Macaca fascicularis: one gene and its partners. The protein of the gene in region 1 purifies or fractionates together with the protein of each later gene. This does not show direct contact. Links are inferred from orthologs where the notes say so. Each region holds a gene or a part of one and is shown in the gene's direction. Other genes may lie near its edges.

Region 1 (4,464 bases):
TTCTGCTATCATTACATATAATGTTTTAGGCTGGGCACAGTGGCTCACACCTGTAATCCCAGCACTTTAGGAGGCCGAGGCGGGAGGATCACAAGGTCAGGAAATCGAGACCATCTTGGCTAACATGGTGAAATCCCGTCTCTACTAAAAATACAAAAAATTAGCCGGGCGTGGTGGCAGGCGCCTGTAGTCTTAGCTACTTGGAGGCTGTGGAGAATGGCGTGAACCCGGGAGGTGGAGCTTGCAGTGAGCCAAGATCGCTCCACCGCCCTCCAGTGACAGAGCGAGAGACCCGTCTCAAAAATAAATAAATAAATTAGCTGGGTGTGGAGACACGCACCTGTAATCCCACCTACTTGGGAGACTGAGGCAAGAGAATCGGCTGAACCTGGGAGGTGCAGGTTGCAGTAAGCCGAGATCATGCCACTGAATTCCAGCCTGGGTGACAGAGTGAGATGGTGTCTCAAAAAAAAAAAAGTCTATTGTAAAAGGATTCAAGTCATACAAAGTTTGTCTTCTGACTGCAATGGAATTAGAAATCACAAACAGAAAGATATCTGGAAAAATCTGCAACTACTTTTAAACTAACACATTTGCAGGTAAGCTACGGGTCAAAGAAGAAATAGAAAGTATTTTGAGCTGAATGGAAATAAAACACATGAAAAATCTGTGAGATACAGCTAAAGAATTACTTAGAAGGAAACTGATGGAATGAAATACCTATATTATTAGAAAGGAAAAAAGTTTCAGATCGGTGATTAAGCTTCCACCTTAAACTAGTAAAGGATGAAATTAAAGTAAACAGAAAAATGAGAATATTAAAGGGCAGAAATCAATGAAATAGAAAACAGGTAAACAATAAAGTCAATGAAACCAAAACCTGTTTTTTAAAAAGAGATCAATAAAGTGTAGTGCTTTAACTGCTTATTTTTGAACTCTTTAAGTGTGGACAAATATTTTTGCCAAGACCTGATGTGGTATTTGTGTGCATGTGTACACACATACACAACAGTAGTGGCTGTTATTTAACATTTGAGCTAGTATAGTTTGGTTAAGGAAGCATAGGGATGCAACATTATAGAGGTGTAACAAAGAAGGTCACATAAAAGTCTTTCACAGAAGAACTTAAGAGTGATTTATTCTCCCTTTAATTTAAAATTAGCATTTTAAGCTTTATTAGATATGGAATGTCAATCATTAACTTTGGATTTAGTTTAAAACATCAAGTATACTTTAAGGAAAACAACTGTCTCTTTACAGGCTGCAAACTACTTAGACATCAAAGGTTTGCTTGATGTTACATGCAAGACTGTTGCCAATATGATCAAGGGGAAGACTCCTGAGGAGATTCGCAAGACCTTCAATATCAAAAATGACTTTACTGAAGAGGAGGAAGCCCAGGTAGGTAGCACAAAGTTTTGTCTTTGATCACATGCTCTTAAAAAGGGACTAACGCCTATAACATGCCAGGAAAAGAGGTGACTGTATCAAGTAGTCTTGATACTTCAGGGATAATATGTACTTTATGTGTCTTAAACATATTCTTACTGGTCTGTCTTTATGAATCTGAACACTTAGGTGATACTGCATTTTAAGCATAAGAACAATTAGTTTTCAATGAGAAGAGCTCTAGTTACTGTATTAACAGTTACCAGTTTTGGCACCTGCAACTTTCTGTATAGACCATACATATCTGACTTCAGAAAAGCAAGCCCTATAGAGAAGTGTATGCTAGGGTACTTTAGAGTAACTTAATGAGGGGAGGAAATGAAATAATAGATCAGAATGATTTTGTTGACATGACTACAGACTGAAATTATGTGACTGAATTAACTGAATTTGCTCTGTCAACTTTAGTGAATTGCCCATTGCCTTTGCTTTGTTCATAATTTCAGCAGGGCAGAATAAAAACCGTGGGAGGCAAAAAAAGGAAATCCGGAAATATAGTCTTAATCTGATGTTATTCTAATTTTCCATGGGTTCTCAGTTCTGACTCAACTCACTGGCTATTGATGAATCAGTAGGTATTATTTTAAGTCTTAGGAAAGACTACTCAAGTTAAGGTACTTCCTTATATTCATCTCTTTTAGGTACGCAAAGAGAACCAGTGGTGTGAAGAGAAGTGAAATGTTGTGCCTGACACTATAACACTGTAAGGATTGTTCCAAATACTAGTTGCACTGCTCTGTTTATAATTGTTAATATTAGACAAACAGTAGACAAATGCAGCAGCAAGTCAATTGTATTAGCAGAATATTGTCCTCATTGCATGTGTAGTTTGAGTATAGATTCCAAACCTATGGCTGAGTTTCTTTTAGTATGATCGAAAGTTTCTTTTTTCTTTGCTCTGAATAAAACTGAACTGTGGGTTCTCTGTAAGTGGCATTTTGGGCTTTCCCTCTTTTTTGTAAAGCAATTTCTGCCTAGTTTATTGTCCAGTTAACTTTAGTGACCTTTTGAAAGTTGGCATTGTAAATAAAACAAGTTGCAAAAAAGTTTTTTGGAATAGAATTAACAAAATATTCTCTTTATTCATGAGTTGGAAACTGGAAAAAGGCTTCTTGAGGTAAATGTTCTGAGTGGAATTACTAGGATGTCTTCCAGCCTCCTGCAGTCAAGGAGTACCACTGTATTAGCCTGTATGTAGCAGGGCTCCCTTCATTGCATCTGAGGACTTGTTTTCTTTTTCTTTAATTTTATTTTTAATCCTCTTAGTTTTAAATATATTGCCTAGAGACTCAGTTACTACCTAGTTTGTGGGTTTTTGGGAGAAATGTAACTGGACAGTTTGTTAGCTTTTCAATTAAAAAAGACACTTAACCCATGTGGGATGTCATCTTTTTATAATCAGTGTTCCCACGTGGGGAAAATTATTCACACTACTTGCATGTAAAAAATAATTTAACTTTTATCATTAAAATATGTGGTAAAACCCAGAAAGCATCCATCATGAATGCAAGATACTTTCAATAAAAAGTAAGTTGTATAGTAGGTAGTTAAGTTTGCTTTTGTGGACTTAAATGTGTCTCTTCACTTAAATGGGTTGAAAGTGTATATATATTTGTTTAGCTTGAAAAGAGTTCATATCCTAGCTCACTGGAGGCTGCTGACATAACCATAACTTCTGTCCCTTCTAATTGTCATTTATATGCCTAACTGGAGCTAGTACTTTAATTTTTTTTTTTTTTTTTTGAGACGGAGTCTCGCTCTGTCGCCCAGGCTGGAGTGCAGTGGCGCGATCTCAGTTCACTGCAAGCTCCGCCTCCCGGGTTCCCGCCATTCTCCTGCCTCAGCCTCCCGAGTAGCTGGGACTACAGGCGCCCGCCACCTCGCCCGGCTAGTTTTTGTATTTTTAGTAGAGATGGGGGTTTCACATGTTAGCCAGGATGGTCTCGATCTCCTGACCTCGTGATCCGCCCATCTCGGCCTCCCAAAGTGCTGGGATTACAGGCTTGAGCCACCGCGCCCGGCCGTACTTTAATTCTTAACACATTACTCTGTCATTGTTTCCAGCTTCTCTCCTACAATAGAATGAAGTTTTTTTATGGCTTGAGATGGCTCACAAATTTTGATTTTTTTTTCTTCCTTGTGCTCCCTTTTTTTCTCCTTCCTTTTCCAGTTGACATCTATATTCGTATGTAATCTTGTTTTCTCTTCACATTCACTGAATTGTTGAGGCTCAGATCATCCCTTGACAGTAGTTTGCCTTCATCTCACCTTTCATTTGTCCCAGATTCACCTAAGTCCCATATGTTGTCTCACTTAATTCCAATTTGTTGTCTGTACCAGAGATAGGAAACTATAACGTGTGTGGGTCAAATCAGGCCCATAGCCTGTTTTTGTAGTCTTTGAGCTAAAAATGGTTTTTGCATTGTAAAGGGTTGTTTAAAATACACACACACATACACACACACACACACACACAAACAGAAACTGTATTTGACCAAAAAGTAACATATTTTGGCCGGGCGCAGTGGCTCAAGCCTGTAATCCCAGCACTTTGGGAGGCCGAGATGGGCGGATCACGAGGTCAGGAGATCGAGACCATCCTGGCTAACACGGTGAAACCCCGTCTCTACTAAAAAATACAAAAAACTAGCCGGGCGCGGTGGCGGGCGCCTGTAGTCCCAGCTACTCCGGAGGCTGAGGCAGGAGAATGGCGTGAACCCGGGAGGCGGAGCTTGCAGTGAGCTGAGATCCGGCCACTGCACTCCAGCCTGGGCGGCAGAGCGAGACTCCGTCTCAAAAAAAAAAAAAAAAAAAAAAAAAGTAACATATTTTACTATCTGGCATTTTACAGAAAATATTTGCCAGCCCCTGTGACTACTTTTGGATTCCTGGTTCCCGTTATTCTTAGGAGATAAGCTTGTTTTCTCTTTGTCCTGGTTTTAGTGGGAAAGGTAGCAGTGTACAGTCCTAGCTGAATTGTCTCATCTACCAATTCCTGCTATAAGATCAACTTCT
Region 2 (6,095 bases), on another chromosome or scaffold:
GTGAGCAGAGTGTCAGGGCTGACTGTGCCAGGACCTGGCTCCCAGCCCTGAGTTCCACCCGCACAGGGGCTGAAGGGCCCTTGTGTACCTGCACAGCACACCCATGGCCAGGAAGCAGGCCAGGGGATTGGCAGCACTGCCCAGCACCACAGCCAGGTGGTAGGCCAGACGCCCGTAGGGTAAGCAGGAAAAGCTTTGCACAGCAGGTAGCACGCCGTTGGTCAGTGCGTTGGTGGCAGCCAACAGCCCCAGGAGGCAGGCACTGTGGGCTGAGAGAAGCTGATAGGCCTTAGGGTCTGGACCAGGGGTGGTGCCTGCTGCCTGGCTTGGTGGCTCTTGCAATGGTGAGGCCTCTTCCACCTCTTCCTCTGCTCCTGGGGCTCCCACCTGGAGGCCTGATCCTAAGCCCCCTGTGGGTACAGATGGTGGTGGCAACAGCAGCAGGAGACCCTGAAAGGCAGCAGCTGAAGCGACCAGAAGGGCAGTCAGTGCCCAGAAGAAGGTGCTGGCGGGAAAACGCTCACGGAAGTCGAGTGGGGGGCCGGGGGTGCCGTTGATGGGGGCTGGTGGGCACTCACGGCGGCCCACACCCTGCACTAGGGCCAGCACGCAGGGCAGCAGGGCACTCAGGCCTTGACCCAGGAAGAATGACCGTAAGAAGCGAGGTGGCAGGTGGCTCAGGAAGGGCAGGAAAGTGACATTAGAGGCACAGCATGCCAGCGCCAGCACAAAGGCCAGTGCTAAGAAGGCCACGGAATGCGACTGTCCTGCCACTAGGACCACGCGGTGCCACAGAAAGGCCAGGAGAGCTGTGCCCACCATGCTCAGCACCTGCACCACCCGGATGGGGACCCGCTCGCCCTTTCCTGGGGCCAGCCGCCTCCAAAGGGTCACCACCAGCAGACCCAGGTTCCCCAGCGCCACAAGCACAGAGACGTAGGAGGGGAGACTCCAACCTGCAGGGAAGGGAGGAGACCATGTCAGGGGCATGATACCCAAGGGAAGAAGAACTGACAGGGCCCACCTTCCTGGGCACACCTGCACCTCCTCCCACTCACCCTCCGGAAGCTCTTTGACCACCACAGGTAGTTCCACCCAGATCCCATTGACCGCAGCCCAGGAGCCCATGCCGAAGAGAGCCACCAGCAGGTGGGTCAGCACCGGACGGCCGGGTGTGGGTGCTGCCATTCAGTCCAAGGCTGCGCCCTTCCAGGTCAAGGCAAAGGTCACAGCCAGTTCTTTTCCCACCTAGGTCCAGAGACGCTTTGGCTCTTCTGGGAACTGAAGACCTCTTCTAGCTTGAAAGAAACAGACAAATAGGCAGGATACAGAACCGGAATCAACAGGGTGAGACCAAGGGAACAGGGGGAGCCCCGGGCAGGAGTGGGGATGGGGAGGATTGGCTAAAACGTACCCAGCAGCACCGCCCGCCAGCGTCGGGACCGCCGGCAGGTAGGGAAGCAGGAAGCCGGCCCGAGTCGCTGCAGCCCCAGGGGAGGAGGCCGAAGGAGCGAGTGGAGCCCTCCTCTCCAGGGAGAGGCGGGGTTGGAGTCACTGCAACCACCACCCCAAGCCGGACACTGGGACAGGGCGCCTACCAGCAGGAGCCAAGCACGCCCCAGGGCTTCGCGGTGCCCGGGACCGCAGGAGCCAAGTCAGATCCCAGGGGAGTGGCTGGGGCGGCTCTGCTCGTAGGGGCGCCGCCCTCTCACCAGCTTCAGATGGGCGACTCTACGCCTCCCGGTCCCGCACCCAGTGCGCTCCCGCTCTAGTGCCGGCTTCCCGCCACGCCAGGACGCCGCCGTCCGGCCCAGGGACGCCGCCTCAGTCCAGACAGCCCAGGACCCGACAGCAGCCACCACCAGACTCACCCGCCGCGACTCCGGGCCCGCCCCCGGCATGGCCCACGGCCGGAAGTCCCGCCCCGGAAGCGGGTCAGCGGGCGGGCGCAGAGAAGAGTCGGGGGGTGTCAGTCTGTAAGCCCCGCCCGTTCCGCTCCCTGGAGCTGCCCCAAGCGCCGTCGGTGGTCATGGCTTCCCCGGCCTCCCGGAAGGTCCGGCGCAGAGCTCGGGCAGCGCCGCGGGCCCGCTCGGCCGAGGACTGGTGGTGGGACCGGCTGGCGCCGAGCGGCTCGGGGTACCACCTGCTTCCGTCCGACAGCATGCTGCTGGTGCTGTCCGAACCCGGACCCGCCCGGACCCGCGCACAGCGACGCGCTGCCCGCCGCACTCCCCGCGCTGCCCGCCGCACTCCCCGGCAGCCGCCCCCGGGCCGCGCCGCGGCCAAGCCCAAGGCCACGCTCAGGCCCGACCCGGCGCCCTCGCCCGAGGAAGGGCCCGACGCGGGCTGGGGAGACCGCATTCCCTTGGAAATCCTGGTGCAGATTTTCGGGTTGTTGGTGGCGGCGGACGGGCCCATGCCCTTCCTCGGCAGGTAACGCTGCTGCCGGGCCCGTCGCCGAGCGCAGCGACTTGGGCCAGACGTGGTCCGAGCAGTGGCCCGGGCGGGGGCGGAGGGCGAAAGCATCGGAGCGCGCACCCCTCCGCCCGAGAGCGCAGCCCCTTAGGCGCCCGGTTGGAGTCCCAGGAGCCCGGCTTTGAGCCGGGATGTCCACTGCGCTGCGAGAGGGGGTATCACCTACGAAGGGGCCGGCAGCCTCAGCACGCTGTCCTCCCAGGGCTGCGCGCGTGTGCCGCCGCTGGCAGGAGGCCGCTTCCCAACCCGCGCTCTGGCACACCGTGACCCTGTCGTCCCCGCTGGCCGGCCGGCCTGCCAAGGGCGGGGTCAAGGCGGAGAAGAAGCTTCTTGCTTCCCTGGAGTGGCTTATGCCTAATCGGTGAGGGGTTCCCTCTTTTCCTTGTCCCCTGGCTCCAGGCTCCTTCTGTCTCCCTGCACCAAGGTGTTGGGTGGGAAGGACTCGTGTGGGAACATTAGTGCAGCTCTGCCTCTGCTGTCGGCCCAGGTTTTCACAGCTCCAGAGGCTGACCCTCATCCACTGGAAGTCTCAGGTACACCCCGTGCTGAAGGTGAGAGCTCCAGGCTGCCCTGCACACCAGCTGTGACCCTCTGGGACTGTTGAGTACTCTAGGAAGTGGGTCAGGCACCTTGAGGGCCCAACGCTGCTCCATCGGGAGGCCTGCCTGCCTGCCTGGTTCTCCTTTCCTGCTGTTTCCTCCAGCAGGGAGGTGTCAGAGGCGGGGACACCCAAGTAGGCCTGACATGGGCAGAAAGGAGGTCGCAGCTAAGGCGGTAGCGTGGGGTTGGCACCAGCCACCTGTTTGTTTCCCTTGTGGATCTTAGCCTGCCCTCTCCCAACCCCAGCTGCCCCTCTGTCTCCCCGCAGCTGGTAGGCGAGTCCTGTCCTCGGCTCACTTTCCTAAAGCTCTCCGGCTGCCACGGTGTGACTGCTGATGCTCTGGTCATGCTAGCCAAAGCCTGCTGCCAGCTCCATAGCCTGGACCTACAGCACTCCATGGTGAGCCCTGTGTCCCAAGGGGCCCTGAAAAAGCCCAGGCTGGGGTGACGGGTGCTCTTGTATTGGGACCCTAGGTGGAGTCCACAGCTGTGGTAAGCTTCTTGGAGGAGGCAGGGTCCCGAATGCGCAAGTTGTGGCTGACTTACAGCTCCCAGACGACAGCCATCCTGGGTGCACTGCTGGTAGGTTGGCATTGGTGGGAGCAGAGGCAGATGCTGAGCCGGGGACTGCCAGGCCACTGACCCTGTGACCCCCTTCCCCCGCACCTCTGCAGGGCAGCTGCTGCCCCCAGCTCCAGGTTCTGGAGGTGAGCAGCGGCATCAACCGTAACAGCATTCCCCTTCAGCTGCCTGTTGAGGCTCTGCAGAAAGGCTGCCCCCAGCTCCAGGTACCTGGCGCCCTGCCTCTCCCACCTTTTATACGCTCCCCTATCTACAGCCTGGGCCTTGCCCCCAGGTGCTGCGGCTGCTGAACCTGATGTGGCTGCCCAAGCCTCTGGGACGAGGGGTGGCTCCCGGACCAGGCTTCCCTAGCCTGGAGGAACTCTGCCTGGCGAGCTCAGCCTGCAACTTTGTAAGCAACGAGGTCCTGGGCCGCCTACTCCACGGCTCTCCCAACTTGCGCTTACTAGATCTTCGTGGCTGTGCGCGCATCACGCCGGCTGGCCTTCAGGATCTGCCGTGTCGGGGTCAGTGGTTCTGGGTTGTGGCCAGGCGCATGAGGTGTGGGGGCCCTTGTGCCATGCTGGAGTCAATGGTCCTGGGTGGTGGGCAGGCAGGTGAGGTGTGGGTGGTGGCTGAATGGGTGAGGTGTGGGGACCCTTGTGCTGTGCCAGGGTCAGCGGTCCTGGGTGGTGGCCGGGCGGGTGAGTTGTGGGAGTCCTTGTCGCCCTGTAGCTTATGCTCACTCCTCTCACCTCAGAGCTGGAGCAGCTTCATCTGGGCCTGTATGGCACGTCAGACCGGCTGACTCTAGCCAAGGAGGGCAGCCCCCTGTTGACTCAGAAGTGGTGCCATACACTGCGAGAACTGGACTTGAGTGGCCAGGGTTTCAGTGAGAAGGACCTGGAGCAGGCCCTGGCTGCCTTCTTAAGCACCCCTGGGGGCTCACACCCAGCCCTGTGCTCTCTTAACCTCAGGGGCACCCGGGTCACACCCAGCACGGTCAGGTCAGCATCCCTAACCCCAGTCCCTGGAGCCAGGGTGGCTGTCACCGCATCTGCCTGGGGCCTGGAAGTGGTGTCCTGCCTGGCCTGAGAGCTCCAGGGGTCAGAGGGCATGCATATTGTCCAAGCCCCTGCGTGGGGTGGGCTTAGGGACACCAGGGGAACTGAGCTTGGTCTTGGTGGCTATGGGTGGCAGAGCCAGGTGTGGAACACCAGCAGGCACAGCTCCCTAACCTGGCCCAGCCCTTCTGGGGCAACAGCTCAACTTCCTGTGGCCTGCTTTCCCCACAGCTCTGTGATCAGCAGCTGCCCAGGCCTGCTCTACCTCAACCTGGAGTCCTGCCGCTGCCTTCCCCGGGGTCTGAAGCGGGCCTACCGGGGCCTGGAGGAAGTCCAGTGGTGTCTGGAGCAGCTGCTCACCAGCCCCTTGCCCAGCTAGGCAGCCACAGACCTGGGACACCTCAGCCCGCCTGCCCACCCCCTACCTTTGCCCAATTTCAGATATTTGAGCATTTTTTTTTAATAAAACGTTTTTGGGAGCTCTGTGTGTGGTCCTCAGGGTAGGGTTGGGCAACGGGTTATACCTGATGGAGCCACTGGGGCTACAGCCAACCCAGAGCCTGTGTGTTGTGGGGTCAGGATGGCCCCATGGGCTCTTAAGCCTGCAGGTGGCCATGCCTTTGCCTGCCCACTGCTGGCACCAGTGTGTGTGTTCCACCCTCAGGAACACTGGTGAGCTTGTCTGTGGTTGCATGTAGGGGGAGAGGTGGGGCCCCGCCCAGCTGTGGGGCTCATTGAGGGGTCCCCGCCTGCAAATTTCTCTCCAGCTCAGTCCTAGGATGTCCATCCATCCACCTTTCAGATGAGGACTGTGAACAGGCCATACAGGGGGCCTCCAGGGGATGGACTGGCCAAGAAGTTAATGCCCACCGCAGGACCTCACCCCGGACTCCCTAGGAGGTGGTTAACAGAGCGGCCCCTTCTAGAACCCGCCCAGAACTTCTAGAACCCGTGCGCGGTCCACCCTGGGCCGCTCCCTGGCCTCGCTGCCCTGCCAGTCGCCTATGAGCTCCTGCTCCTTCCTGGGCCTGCAGCCCTGAAGAATTTGTTCACCCAGGTAGGAGCGTCGCTGTGGGCAGCAGGCGGTGGCAGCGGGCTAGCGGCCGGGCTGACCACCTCTGCCTGACGCAGATGCCTAAGGCCAGGCCCGGCAGCCTGCCCACGACCTCCATCGGCTGGCGCTTCCAGCTCTGGTCCCTAGGACTCTCCTCTCCGGAGCGCCACCTGGCCAGGCGCCTCAAAAACAATAGCTTCTACCCATTCATGCAGCAGCAGCCAAACGGTGCGCGCGAGGCTGGGCGGGGCGGGGTGGGGCGGGTCCGGGGACGGGCCTGAATAGGGCGGAGCCAGGTGGGCAGAACCAGGGCCCTGGGCGGGGCCAGTCGGTGCTCCTGG
Region 3 (6,044 bases), on another chromosome or scaffold:
TCAACTTACGATTTTTCTACTTTACGATGGGTTTATCGGTGTACCAAATGCATTTTCGATTTATGGTATTTTTTATTTAAGATGGATTTATCGGGAAGTATCCCCATTCTAAATCGAAGAGCATCTGCAGTCAATGAGGCCATGTGCATAGCACTTTGAGTCCTTTAAAATATGTATCTACGTACAGGGATTTACAAAGTGCCTGGCACATAGTGCTAAAAAAAATTATTTATTTATTTATTTAGAGGCAGAGTCTCGCTCTGTCGCCCAGGCTGGAGTGCAGTGGCACGATCTCGGCTCACTGCACCCTCCGACTCCCGGGTTCAAGCAATTCTCTCTGCCTCAGCCTCCCGAGTAGTTGAGATTACAGGCACCCGCCACCACGCCAGGCTAATTTTTGTATATTTTTTAGTAGAGATGGGGTTTCACCAAGTTGGCCAGGCTGGTCTTGAACTCCTGACCTCAGGTGATCCGCCCGCCTCCACCTCCCAAAGTGCTGGGATTACACACGTGAGCCACCGCGCCTGGCCAAAAAATATTATTTTATTATTAATCGCACAACAATCTCATATAGATGCCATTCAGAAGATGAAAACGTTGAGAATTACAGAAATTAAGCAATACTTCCAAGATCTATCAGCTAAGAAACAGGGGAAGCAGGCTGAGAACCCTGGACTTCTGACTGTACCATTTCCTTTGTAGTTTAGCTATGAAATTATCATTTTACATGAATTCGGAATTGATGTAAACCTAGAAAGATGGACAGAAACAGCACTGTTAAAGAGGGATCTAGTTTATGCAGAAGTAACCCATGTGCATTGTCAGGAGGCAGCTTTTCTCATGGGAGAGGGATGCAGAGGTAGGGAAAATGTGTGAAGCCTTTAAATGCCAGGCTAAGGAGTGTGGGAGTCGTTAGTGGTTCTTGATCAGAGTGGTGGCATAATATTAACAGCATTTTATTATTCATCTGGTTGTGGACTACTGAATCGATTGGGGAGGTGGAAGTGGAGCTTCGGAGACCAGTTTGATGGCTGTTGCTGGAGTCTGGAGTATGAGGACCTTTATTTAGTATATTGAGGTAAAGAGACCTGGGAAGGTGTTCTTTTGTTAGCAGACAGCGTTGAGGGGACATGTAAACTCCTTATATTTAAAAAGGCCTTATGAGTATGTATTGGGTTTCTTTCAAAAGCAGCTACTGCAGAGGCCTGAGAGGCCAAAAGGGTGCCTTTGGAATTAGAGCAGAGTTAGACTCCTGGCTTTGTCATTTTCTAATTATGTAGCCCAGAGGAAGTCACCTAACCTCTCTTGAGTCTTGATTTCGATTCCTCTAAGTTAGGGGTGACAAGCCCTACTTGTTTGAGCATCTGTGTAGCGCTTTAAGGCATCTAGCAATGGCGCTGCGTGTTGGTTCCCGCCTTCCCCGTGGTGTCCTGCAGGCGGGGACTGAGTAGCTAAGGACGGCGGAGGCCAGGAAAGTCGTTCTACCTGGAGACCCCGGGCTGGCACTTCTGTCCAGACCTGGACAGGCCTCCGAATGCCAGACCTTGGACCAGGCTTCGCACGGGATGACTGAGCATCCCAAGCCAGTCGGTGGGACAGATATTTTCCTCCTCAGAGGGGCTCTGGAGCGCGCGGCAGCCCCTGGCAGCCGTGGGTACCGAGAGGGCGACAGGGCAACAGTGCGGTGAGGCGGCGCCGGCTCCCGAGGCCGAGGCGTCCACCTCCGCACCGCCCGCCGGCTAACTCGCCGCGGGTGCTGGGCCGCGCTGGCCGCGTTTGAAGTCTCCGGCGCGGCTGCTGGTTGGCGGGCGCGGGTCACGTGCGCCCAGGCAGGAGTTTCCCCGACAGCTGGAGGCTGCGTGGGATCCGGCGGCGGCTCCCGAGCGCGGCGGTGCGGCCTTCCCCGCCCCCTTCCTCCCTCCTCCCCCGCCCGCTTCCGCCCGGCTTATTATCCTCCTTATTGACAAACAGTGCGGCCGCGGCGGCGACTCTCAGCGTGCGTTGATAGCCAAGCCATGGGAGACAAGAAGAGCCCCACCAGGTAACAGCGCCCGGGCCCCGGGGCCCGGACTGTGCGGGCGGCAGGGCCCTGGTGCAGGGCTTCGGGTGGCTGCCTCGCTCGCCGCCCGGGCACCGGGGCGAGCACGGGGGCGGCGCCGCTGGTGTGCGAGTGCTGCCGCGTGAGGGGGCCGGCGCCGGCCGCCCCACAATGGAGCCGCGATGGCGGCGGCTACCGGAGCGGCAGCCCGGGTGTCAGAGCGGCTGTGGCGGCGGCGAGTGCGGCCGGGCTCGCGCCCTGCCTCTTCCTGACTTCCTTCCCCCTTGGAGCCGGAGCGCGGCGCGCCGAGGGCCCGCCGGGGGCCCGCCGGGCGGGGGTCGCGGAATTGGGGCGGGGGGCGGGGCGGGGGCGGCCGCAGGGCCCGGGCGCCGGGCGCGGCCTGCTGGTGACCCCGCGCCGCGTCGTGTCCGGGTTGTGTCCTGCAGGCCGAAGCGGCAGCCGAAGCCGTCCTCGGATGAGGGTTACTGGGACTGTAGCGTCTGCACCTTCCGGAACAGCGCCGAGGCCTTCAAGTGCATGATGTGCGATGTGCGGAAGGGCACCTCCACCCGGTGAGTCCCAGGCCTGCCCCGCGCGCCTCCGTCTGGCGGGGTGACGACCAGGGGACGCCCCTGCGGCTGCCGCCCCGTCCCATGACATTCGCGGACCCGGCGGGAGGAGGCGAGACGGAGGTGGCTGTGGCGATAGGAACTGGGTCACATTGATCGCAACCCAGGCGATGGTTTGCGGTGAGGGGTAATTGAAGAGGCTGTAAGGTTTTTTGCTGCCAAGAGAGAATAAATTATTTATGGGAGGCATTAGCTACTGCGATTTAATTCGTATCGCCGTGTGTAATGTCCCTCTCCCCACTCTGGGTATAAAAATGTTGGCTGCATTGTTGTGTTAGTGTGTAGGGATCAAGGAAAACCCATAAAATCCTCTTTAGGAGCAAAGGATGTAATTTAATTTCGTTCCTAAAAAAAGAAAACTATCTGATTGCAGAATACACAATATATTAAACTTCTTTTCTATATGGACTTCTGGAAGGGTCAGATCAAGGTTTTATTTAGTGTTTTTATTCCAGTTCTCTAATATTTTATAAATAAGTAGTTGGAGATGAGCCCAGTCACAGGAACAGATTTTTACTGAAAGTACCTGCATATCTTTAGTTTGATTAAATGGCAGTCTCTTAGACAAATGAGATGAAAAGATCTCTGCCCATTTTCAGACTTTATTTATTGTAAGCTTGCAGTATAATAACTCTGTTTTTTAAAAAACGACTTTGAATTAAGTGGATAAAGAAAATCATCCAGGAAATTCAGTCTGGCATTCTTAATCTGTCAGCACTTAGTTATCGAGCTCCTTGATTTTTATAGGAAGGTACCCTTTGAATTAAATATAATCCTGTGATTTATTACTTAATATGTAGAGAAGATATATATTTTGATGTTACAAAGTTCATTAGAGACTAAACTATAACAATAAGCATACTAATCTATCTTACTGTTGCTTTAAAAAAGGCATATATGATATTGACATATGCAAATATTCAGTAGACGTTAGATTTCTAAAAAATGTGATCTTGATTTTTTTTTAAAACACTACAGAATTTTATTAAGTTTGAAATGTAGAGACAGGAATGGTTGACAGTAACTTATTTGAAAATTTTCTCAGTGAAGCTCGCTGGCTTTGACATGCTTATTTTTTGTAAATATTATATGCTTTTTGTATATTCCCACAATGGATAAAATATTTTGTACATTTTTCATATTCAAAAAGAAAATTTTCAAACATATTCTAAATTTAAGGGATTACAGCAGAACATTCCAAAAAGAAAAAAGTATATACTAAAATGATTGTGGTTACTAATTTTGGACCCATTTATTCTCATTTACAGTGGATAAAATATTTTGAACATTTTTTATGCTCAGAAAGCCAACTTTTAGACATGCTAAATTTAAGGGATTACAACAGAACATTCCAAAAAGAAAAAAAGTATTTGCTAAAATGATTGTGGTTACTATTTTTGGACCCGTGTTTTGTGATTTAAGTATTTTGAAAAGCAGAGTATCTTAATGGCTGTGTAAGGTTGGAGTTGGTTTAGAGTGTATTTGTATATCCGTGTTAGTACTTTGTGCTTTTTAAAATGCTTAGTAAACAATATTTAGAAAATTCGTTTTTTGGAGGCAGGAACATTAAAGTGGAGACAATTATTATAATCTTGATCTCTGGTACTATATATTATTGCTTTTTGTTGTTCCCTCTCTATTTTCTTGTAGCCATTAGAAAAATACTGAAACTAGAAGAGCCTATATGTTTATTTGCAGGGACAGCAAGGAAGGGGGGAAGCTGGTGTCCTACTCCACAGCCAGTCTTGGGATTAGAGGAACCCTGAGAAATAGAGTAGGTGGTGGCAGCTCAGAAGAGAAGAAACAGGCTGAATACCTGGCACCTGGAAGAAGAAGGAATATAGTACACAGGGGAGTTGGCCCAGGACAGAGAAGTGGGCCTAGTTTAAAAGAGGCTTGAGGCCCACCTGGGGGCCCCTGACTTTTTTTTTGTTTTTAACCGGTACATCCGAGCTCTTGTAGATCCAATTTTTAGTGGTGGAAACATTACTTGAGGAGGACTCAGAGAAGCATTGTCATTTGGATTGAAACTGAAGAGGCTCTGGGCAACTCACCAGAAATCTAAGGGACACTGTGTTCCTGAAAGTAAGTGTTCTACACTACGACCCTCTCAGCTTCTTCCTTCCTCTCTCTGAATTGTCTCTTCTCTTTTGATTTTGGCTCTAAGTTAAACCTAAGAGCTCTAATTTCTCTGTTATCTGTTATTTTCCTAGTGGTTTCTGAAATTCAGGGTAGAATCCATGTTTGTATAGAACAGTGTGGAACAGGGTATTGTTAATAGAGAAGATACTGATTACATCACAGAATATTAATATTTTCCTCTCTGGTAATGTTAGAAAAACAAGATTAAAGGACTGCAGAATGCTGTTGAGAAGCAAAAGTTTCAGTAGTTGGAAGGAATAATTCTCCATAATTGACATATTAATTAACAGTTAGGGTAATTTCCAGAGTAAGGTTGGCAAGTACTAAAGCTGGGACTGGATAGCAGCAGAGCAGAAGGATGCAGTTTGCTGATGTTTTGTTTGTGTGACCCATAGATGGGATTTGAATCCTTTGGGTCAGACTGACCTTTGAACTGATTCTGCCTCATTGCCAAATGTTAGGCCAAGTCTAAGCCATTCTAGACATTTGAAAAACTTTTTTCTTTTTAAACCTGCGGAGAAGATTGAGTCCTTGTTCTACCTTTAAAGTATTTTTTTTCTTTTTTCTTTTTTGAGGTAAGATCTCATTCTGTTGCCCTGGGTTGCAGTGTCATCATCCAGGCTCACTGCAGCCTCGAACTCCCAGGTTCAAGGGATCCTCTCACCTCAGCCTCCCAAGTAGCTGGAACTACAGATGCACGCCATCACGTGTGGCTAATTTTCTTATTTTTTTGTAGAGATGGGGATCTTTGTGTTGCCTAGGCTAGTCTCAAACTCCTGAGCTCGAGTGATCCTCCCACGTTGGCCTCCCAAAGAACTGGGATTATAGGAGTGAGCCACCATTCTGGTCCCTTTAAAGTTTTTATTGACAATATTTTTTTTTTTCTTTAAGGAATATTAAGTTCAAATTCTTTATATTGCAACAGAAGCCCATTTCCTTTGGGTTATATATCCATGATAGGTCATGTCTTTCTATAGAATGAAGTTACATTCATGGCATGTATTTCAAAATAAAACAATTTGTTGTAGCTTCAGTTCCTCAATTTTTAATTTTATTTTATATTTTGGGGTACATGTGCATGTTATTGGGTATATTGCAGAGTCAGGGAATTGGGCTTCTAGTGTACCCTTTATCCAAATAGTGAACATTATATCCAACAGGTAATTATTCAGTCCCTCACTCCAAAATTTTTTACATTGTGCTTTTGTGAGAGAAACAGTAGTAAATGTCAAACT
Region 4 (6,078 bases), on another chromosome or scaffold:
ATGCCCAGCTAATTTTGTATTTTTAGCAGAGATGGGGTTTCACTGTCTTGGCCAGGATGGTCTCGATCTCCTGATCTCGTGATCCTCCCGCCTCTGCCTCCCAAAGTGCTGGGATTACAGGTGTGAGCCACTGCGCCTGATCCTATCTCACTTCTTTTGCAACTAGAAGGCCAAGTTCAGCCTTTATAAACATACCCACAGGAAATACTGACCACTGAGTATAGTAAATTTATATTTTTCGTTTATATTTCTCATTCACTTTACATGCAATGGATAGTTTTTAGTTTTACAATCATAAAAACGACCACAAATGCTCCGCATATGTTCACATTAAACACACCATGAACTTGTTCTTTTTTTTTTTTTTTTTTTTAAGTTTTTTAAGATACAGATTTCTTTTTTTTTCTCTTGGTTTTTTTAAGACGGAGTCTCGCTCTGTCCCCCAGACTAGAGTGCAGTGGCGCGATCTTGGCTCACTGCAAGCTCCGCCTCCCGGGTTTATGCCATTCTCCTGCCTCAGCCTCCAGAGTAGCTGGGACTACAGGCGCCCGCCACGCCTGGCTAATTCTTTTTGTTTTTGTTTTTTTTTTTGAGACGGAGTCTCGCTCTGTCACCCAGGCTGGAGTGCAGTGGCCGGATCTCAGCTCACTGCAAGCTCCGCCTCCCGGGTTCACGCCATTCTCCTGCCTCAGCCTCCCGAGTAGCTGGGACTACAGGCGCCTGCCACCTCGCCCGGCTAAGTTTTTGTATTTTTAGTAGAGACGGGGTTTCACCGTGTTAGCCAGGATGGTCTCGATCTCCTGACCTCGTGATCCGCCCGTCTCAGCCTCCCAAAGTGTTGGGATTACAGGCTTGAGCCACCGCGCCCAGCCAATTTTTTTTTTTTTTTGTATTTTTAGTAGAGACGGGGTTTCACCGTGTTAACCAGGATGGTCTCGATCTCCTGACCTCGTGATCCGCCCGCCATGGCCTCCCAAAGTGCTGGGATTACAGGCGTGAGCCACCGCACCCGGCCAAAGATGCAGATTTCACGGGTGGAAGAATAAAACTGAACTAAAGGCAGCCAGATTTTTCTACCACAGAGGAGCAAAAGAAAACCGGATACACACAAATTTTAGTTATGGCATTTCAAAATCCTAAATAAACTAGAAAGCTCGTTTTTCCTACAAAAATTTATTTTTGCTGTTATGAGCAAACCCTGTCAGAGTCTTGATACTTTTTTTTAAATTCCAAAATTGACGCAAAGGCTACCAAATGTAGTAGAAAATGAAATCGAAAAATTTAAAAACGATTTCATTTCTACTTCCTACATCCAGATGGCAAATAACTTTTCCTTCACTTTCCTTTGTCTTCCTTTAATAAATTTAAGAATTTTAATTAATGTTTTTAAAAAGGGCTGCTTTCAGGTTCAGAGACCAAAATTGGCACAGTTAGAAAGGAGGTCACCAATGCGGTCAAATAGGGACTCGCTCCGCCGCAACGCCTCTGGACCTCTTCATCTCTCTGGCTGGGAAAATAAAGCGGACAAGCTCTGAAAAACGCCCAGGACTAGACTAACTGTTAAGAGGCCCTGCACCCTCAGTTGAACATTCCTTCAAGAGTGCCCGCGGACCTGGCCAGGGGTGTTCAGGCAGGTGTCTGACTCTCGTGGAGTGTGTCTTGAGGTTCCCTTTCTCCTCGGTCCCGAGTGGCCTAAAAATTAAAATAAGAAAATCGGCGGCCTGTGAGAACTTTGCAAACACACGTGCAGCATCTTCTCTGACGCTTAGAAAGTCCGTTACTCGCGCGGAGGCGAACCCCTCCACTCACTGGGAGGCCACCAGCCCTACCTAACGCCACGCCCAGGCCGCCGACAGGCTGACCCGGAAGTGCTCGGCGGCGGCTGCGGCGACGGGGGCGCGGCCTAGCCGGCGCACCCGCGCGCGCGCTCTCCGCGGAACTCCTGCTGGCGGCCAGGCTCACGCGGAGGCGCGCCCGAACAGTCGCGGCCGCCGCCAACATGGCCGAGACCAGCGAGGAAGTGGCGGTGCTGGTGCAGCGGGTAGTGAAGGACATCACTAACGCCTTCAGGAGGAACCCGCACATGTGAGTCGCGCGCCTCCGCCACCTCCGAGGGTCGTCGGGAGCGGGCGGGGGCGGGGCCAAGCGTCCACCCGACCTCGGGCGGCGGGCTGACCACGGGTCCTGGCCCACGCGCCCTTCTAGGGAGGAGGCAGAGCCGTGTCGGGCGCCGCTGGCCGGGCTTTCCGCTACCGGGACGCGCTGGCGGACGAGTCCCTAGAAGTGACCTCGAAAAATCGAAACGGAACGACTTTCTCTCTCCCTTCCCACCTTTTCATAGGAGTTCACGAAACTCCAAAGACTTCCCCCGTAGGTCCACATCCTTCCTCTGTTTAAGGTACACGGGCGCACGCAACAATGTGGGTCTGTGCATACCTTGTAAACACAACTCTTGAGATTCATCCCGGTCATTGGCAAGGGGGTAACCGATCGTCTTTGTCTTAATGAGCCCTAAACCCCTCAGTTTACTAACTAAAGGTGGTTTGAGGCTGCTTTTGACTTTCGCCTTACTTGCCACAAAATTGTAAATTGACTCCGATAAAACATTGTGTTTTGAAGGTGAACGGAGCATTCTCAAGAGAAGCGTCTGTGGGCGCGGTGTGGAGTCTGGGATAATGCAAATGAAACCTCGATACTTTTTAGCATAAGCGGATTCATAGTTACAAGGAGCATGTTAACTCATTTTTATCCCAGCACTGCTGCCCTCTTTAACGGGACACTGCAGAACTGACACATGTATCTCTTCCGCTTTACTTGAAGTACTCTTGGAAGATACCACAAGAGTCTACTTTTTGTAACACTTTGCTTTTGTGTAACAAGTGAAAAGAAAACTATTAGAGAGAGAGATCTCCATTATACAAAGGTGTAGGGAAGAAGCAACAGTGTACCTCCTTTCCCATACCTCTTCCTCCTCAAAGAAAAGAAACATGGCATTCAGTTCTGCATTATTTTCACTTTAGTTGTTTTTGGAGTTTATTTTTACTTTTATTCTTTAGACTGGAACTCAATTTTTTTTTTTTTAAGTATTCTAACAGGTTCAGCTTTTCTGCCTAAAAAAGTTGCCAAACTTGTATCTTACCAAAGTGTTCTTTTCCTCCAAGGAGATGATTGTAAAAGAGTTAAGAAGCTCTCGGATGTTTGCTCCCTTGTGGCACAGAATTGGAGACGTGCAACTGTGCCACATTAAAAACAAAACACTGCTGGCCTCAAAACACACCTGCCACCTCTGACAGCATCCACTTCCCTCCCCCTTATGACTGCTGCCTTTTTCAAAATGAGAGTGTTTGGAATGATTTCCTGGCAGTATCCATAGTGGTTGCTGAGCCTTCTAAAGAATGCTTTGATGCCTTGCTGTATATCAGTCTTTCGATTTCTTTTTGAGAATGGGAGCCTTAGTGCAAGTAAGAGACAACCTCAAAAAAAAAAAAAAAAAGTTGGACAAATCAAGAGTGTATTTTCTCATCACTGGTATTATTTTTCTAGAAGAAATTACAGCAGAGATTAGAAGTCTAATAAAAAATATCGTAATCATCTTATGTTCTCTTCTTTGAGGTAGACTAAAAGAGCATCATTATATTTGAAGAAACCAAGATTGAATGTTCATTGGCTTGGCAGTTTAACAGTGCAGTTTGGAACACGTCCCAGTTCTTGTGGATCACATTTACGGAAACTCTTAAAGGACTTTAATGCCCCTCCCTAATCCTTTTTCTACTGTGAAACCTCATCAATATATTCTCAATGTATAATTTATTAGTAATAAGGGTTTGGCTCATTCGAGATTTAAAACTTTGAGATAAGTTGGATATTCGGAATAATGAAATGATTTGTAATATGGATCTTAAACATTTGAATAGCTTACCTCACTGTTTAATACTAGTCATCAGCTATATTTGAGTACATATTCCCCACAGTAAAACTATTTTCAATAATATTACTATGCATCTTTTTAAGTGCTTTATAATTTGGGTTTTTGAAAATTGCCTGCACTTTCTTCCCTTAATTTAGCCCATTTACTCCCAAAATAAAGAGGCTGTGTTTCTTTTCTTTTTAAAAAAAAAGCATTGTTTATCTGTGACATTTGTATCTAACTTTACTGTATCTAATTCAGTATTATAAAAGTTTCCTTCTCCAAACTTAAGGTCGGTTGTAATTTTATTAGCCAACATCTACTTCATTAAATACACTGTTTGTTTATGTAGAAATATTTAGCCAGAAGGAGTTGAGGATGCAGTGGTGAGATATGGGTGTTGTTACTGTATGATGTGAATAGGTACCTTCTCAGCCTCAGTGTCCTCTTGATCTTGTGAGGCTGATGAGAACACAGGAAAATCACCTCACACAGTGGTACTTAGTTGCCACTCAATAAATATTAGACCTTCCCTGAATCTCTGTTCCTCACCAAAAATATATTGGCCAAATAATTGGTGAATATGAAGCACTTTATAAACTGGATAATACTATATAAATGCTGTTTTTATGGTTGACTCTTAGATAATCATATCGGATTCTCTAAAACGGTAAACTTGACCTAGGGATAGTCTTTAACTTAGTGTATGGACCCTGTGCTAGTGTAGAAGACAACAGTTTACAATGTAAATAGTCATGTTAAAATTATCTTATTCAGCAAGTTACTGTTTTTTCTATTAAATATTGAACTCTCCCTGTTTATGAGGTGTTGTGGGTACCATCTTTACTATGTGAAACAAGTTTAAAATACAGTTCTTGAACCCAAGGCACTAACAGAAATTTATGTAATGGTGGAAATTTTCTATGTTTGTGCTGTTCCCTATGGTAGCCACTAGCCATGGTAGCTATTGAGCAATTGAAATGTCCCTAATATGGACAGGAACCAAATTTTAAATTTTATGTAATTTAAATTGATTTGTACGTAGTGGCTCCATGTGCCCAGTGACTACTGTGATGTGTAGTGCAGGTGTAGATGAGACCTAAGACCAACCGCATGAATAGTAAATTAACACTCCAAAGTAGTTTATAATAAAAGCTGGATAGCAGCATGGTGAGCAAGTGCTATAGGAGTCTAATAGAAGTGGAGAGGAGGCTGGTTATGTCTGGGATAGGGCTCTAAGTGGAAATGGGTTTTAAGCCGAATATTAAAGTCTGGGTAGGATTTGTAGTCTCAGCGGGAGCCAGAGACCTCCATAGGGAACAGTGAATTGACTTAAGCAAACTGTGACTGAGAAGGTACAGTAGGGCCAGATTATGGAAATCCTTGACTCTCATTTAATTTCTTTCATTCCATTTATACATTCTGCAAAAGATTACAGAATCATTGTGTCTGTTTGACAGGCACAATGCTGGTCTCTGGGTATACAGGGTTCAAAGCTGGGTGGCTTAATGAACAAACCAGACATGGTCCCTGTCCTAATGGGATGTTAAGCAGTCAACATACAGATTATGAAAAGAGTCAGAAAAAGTAAGAAGGGTACTTAGATTAACAACATGGAGGCCTAATTTAGAGTATGAGGTCAAGATAGTTCTTTCTGAGGCAATAGCATTTAAACTGAATGAGACATGAGGGGTGAAGAAAAGCTGGCTCATGGATGCACACTTCTAAGGCAATGGGTAGGCACCAGTGAACATTATTTAATAAAGAATAATGAAAGGCAGTTTTAGATTGTCTGCAAGGTGAACTGAAGAATAGAAAGCCAGAGTCTACTGGGCTTCTTGTATCTGATTTTTATTTATTTAAATAATAGTGTAGTATAGTGTAAAAATTTGAGTTTAGAGTGTGACAGTCTAAGCTGTCAAACTGGATTTGAATCTTTGCTTGTCATTTATTAACTGAGTAGACAGACAAGACTCTTCATCTGTAAAATGGGATCAGAATTCCTACTTTATGAGATTATTGTGCAGAATAAAATAGTATATGTAAAACCTAACCGTGCATGGCAAATAACAAACAATAAACAGTAGTAATTTGTGTAGCTTTTTCTAAATAAGGTCAGTAATATAATTTCAGTGAAACATTAAGTTGATAATCTTTGGAATTAATGAGAA

Evidence for each region.
Region 2: the proteins of SKP1 (region 1) and FBXL6 purify together in Homo sapiens (affinity purification with mass spectrometry; 6 studies listed by BioGRID and IntAct, with this or other methods). This does not show direct contact. The link is inferred for Macaca fascicularis from reciprocal best matches to the Homo sapiens genes SKP1 and FBXL6.
Region 3: the proteins of SKP1 (region 1) and YAF2 purify together in Homo sapiens (affinity purification with mass spectrometry; 3 studies listed by BioGRID and IntAct, with this or other methods). This does not show direct contact. The link is inferred for Macaca fascicularis from reciprocal best matches to the Homo sapiens genes SKP1 and YAF2.
Region 4: the proteins of SKP1 (region 1) and PTAR1 purify together in Homo sapiens (co-immunoprecipitation; 3 studies listed by BioGRID and IntAct, with this or other methods). This does not show direct contact. The link is inferred for Macaca fascicularis from reciprocal best matches to the Homo sapiens genes SKP1 and PTAR1.

What each region holds. Positions count from the first base shown.
Region 1 is NC_088380.1:140,678,174-140,682,637, reverse strand, and holds the end of SKP1 (S-phase kinase-associated protein 1), read left to right. Parts: intron 1-1,260; coding exon 1,261-1,401; intron 1,402-2,090; coding exon 2,091-2,126; 3' UTR 2,127-2,986; downstream 2,987-4,464. UniProt on the Homo sapiens protein: Essential component of the SCF (SKP1-CUL1-F-box protein) ubiquitin ligase complex, which mediates the ubiquitination of proteins involved in cell cycle progression, signal transduction and transcription.
Region 2 is NC_088382.1:154,038,108-154,044,202, reverse strand, and holds FBXL6 (F-box/LRR-repeat protein 6), read left to right. Parts: upstream 1-2,001; 5' UTR 2,002-2,029; coding exon 2,030-2,433; intron 2,434-2,677; coding exon 2,678-2,836; intron 2,837-2,962; coding exon 2,963-3,026; intron 3,027-3,343; coding exon 3,344-3,475; intron 3,476-3,549; coding exon 3,550-3,657; intron 3,658-3,749; coding exon 3,750-3,863; intron 3,864-3,913; coding exon 3,914-4,163; intron 4,164-4,371; coding exon of another isoform or gene 4,372-4,396; coding exon 4,397-4,643; intron 4,644-4,931; coding exon 4,932-5,079; 3' UTR 5,080-5,179; downstream 5,180-6,095. Other genes in the region: SLC52A2 (solute carrier family 52, riboflavin transporter, member 2), read right to left, coding at 89-956, 1,249-1,294, 1,713-1,901.
Region 3 is NC_088385.1:48,807,326-48,813,369, reverse strand, and holds the start of YAF2 (YY1-associated factor 2), read left to right. Parts: upstream 1-1,950; 5' UTR 1,951-2,015; coding exon 2,016-2,041; intron 2,042-2,484; coding exon 2,485-2,610; intron 2,611-4,365; coding exon of another isoform or gene 4,366-4,567; exon of another isoform or gene 4,568-4,757; intron 4,758-6,044. UniProt on the Homo sapiens protein: Binds to MYC and inhibits MYC-mediated transactivation. Also binds to MYCN and enhances MYCN-dependent transcriptional activation. Increases calpain 2-mediated proteolysis of YY1 in vitro.
Region 4 is NC_088389.1:100,449,593-100,455,670, reverse strand, and holds the start of PTAR1 (protein prenyltransferase alpha subunit repeat-containing protein 1), read left to right. Parts: upstream 1-1,984; 5' UTR 1,985-1,999; coding exon 2,000-2,085; intron 2,086-6,078.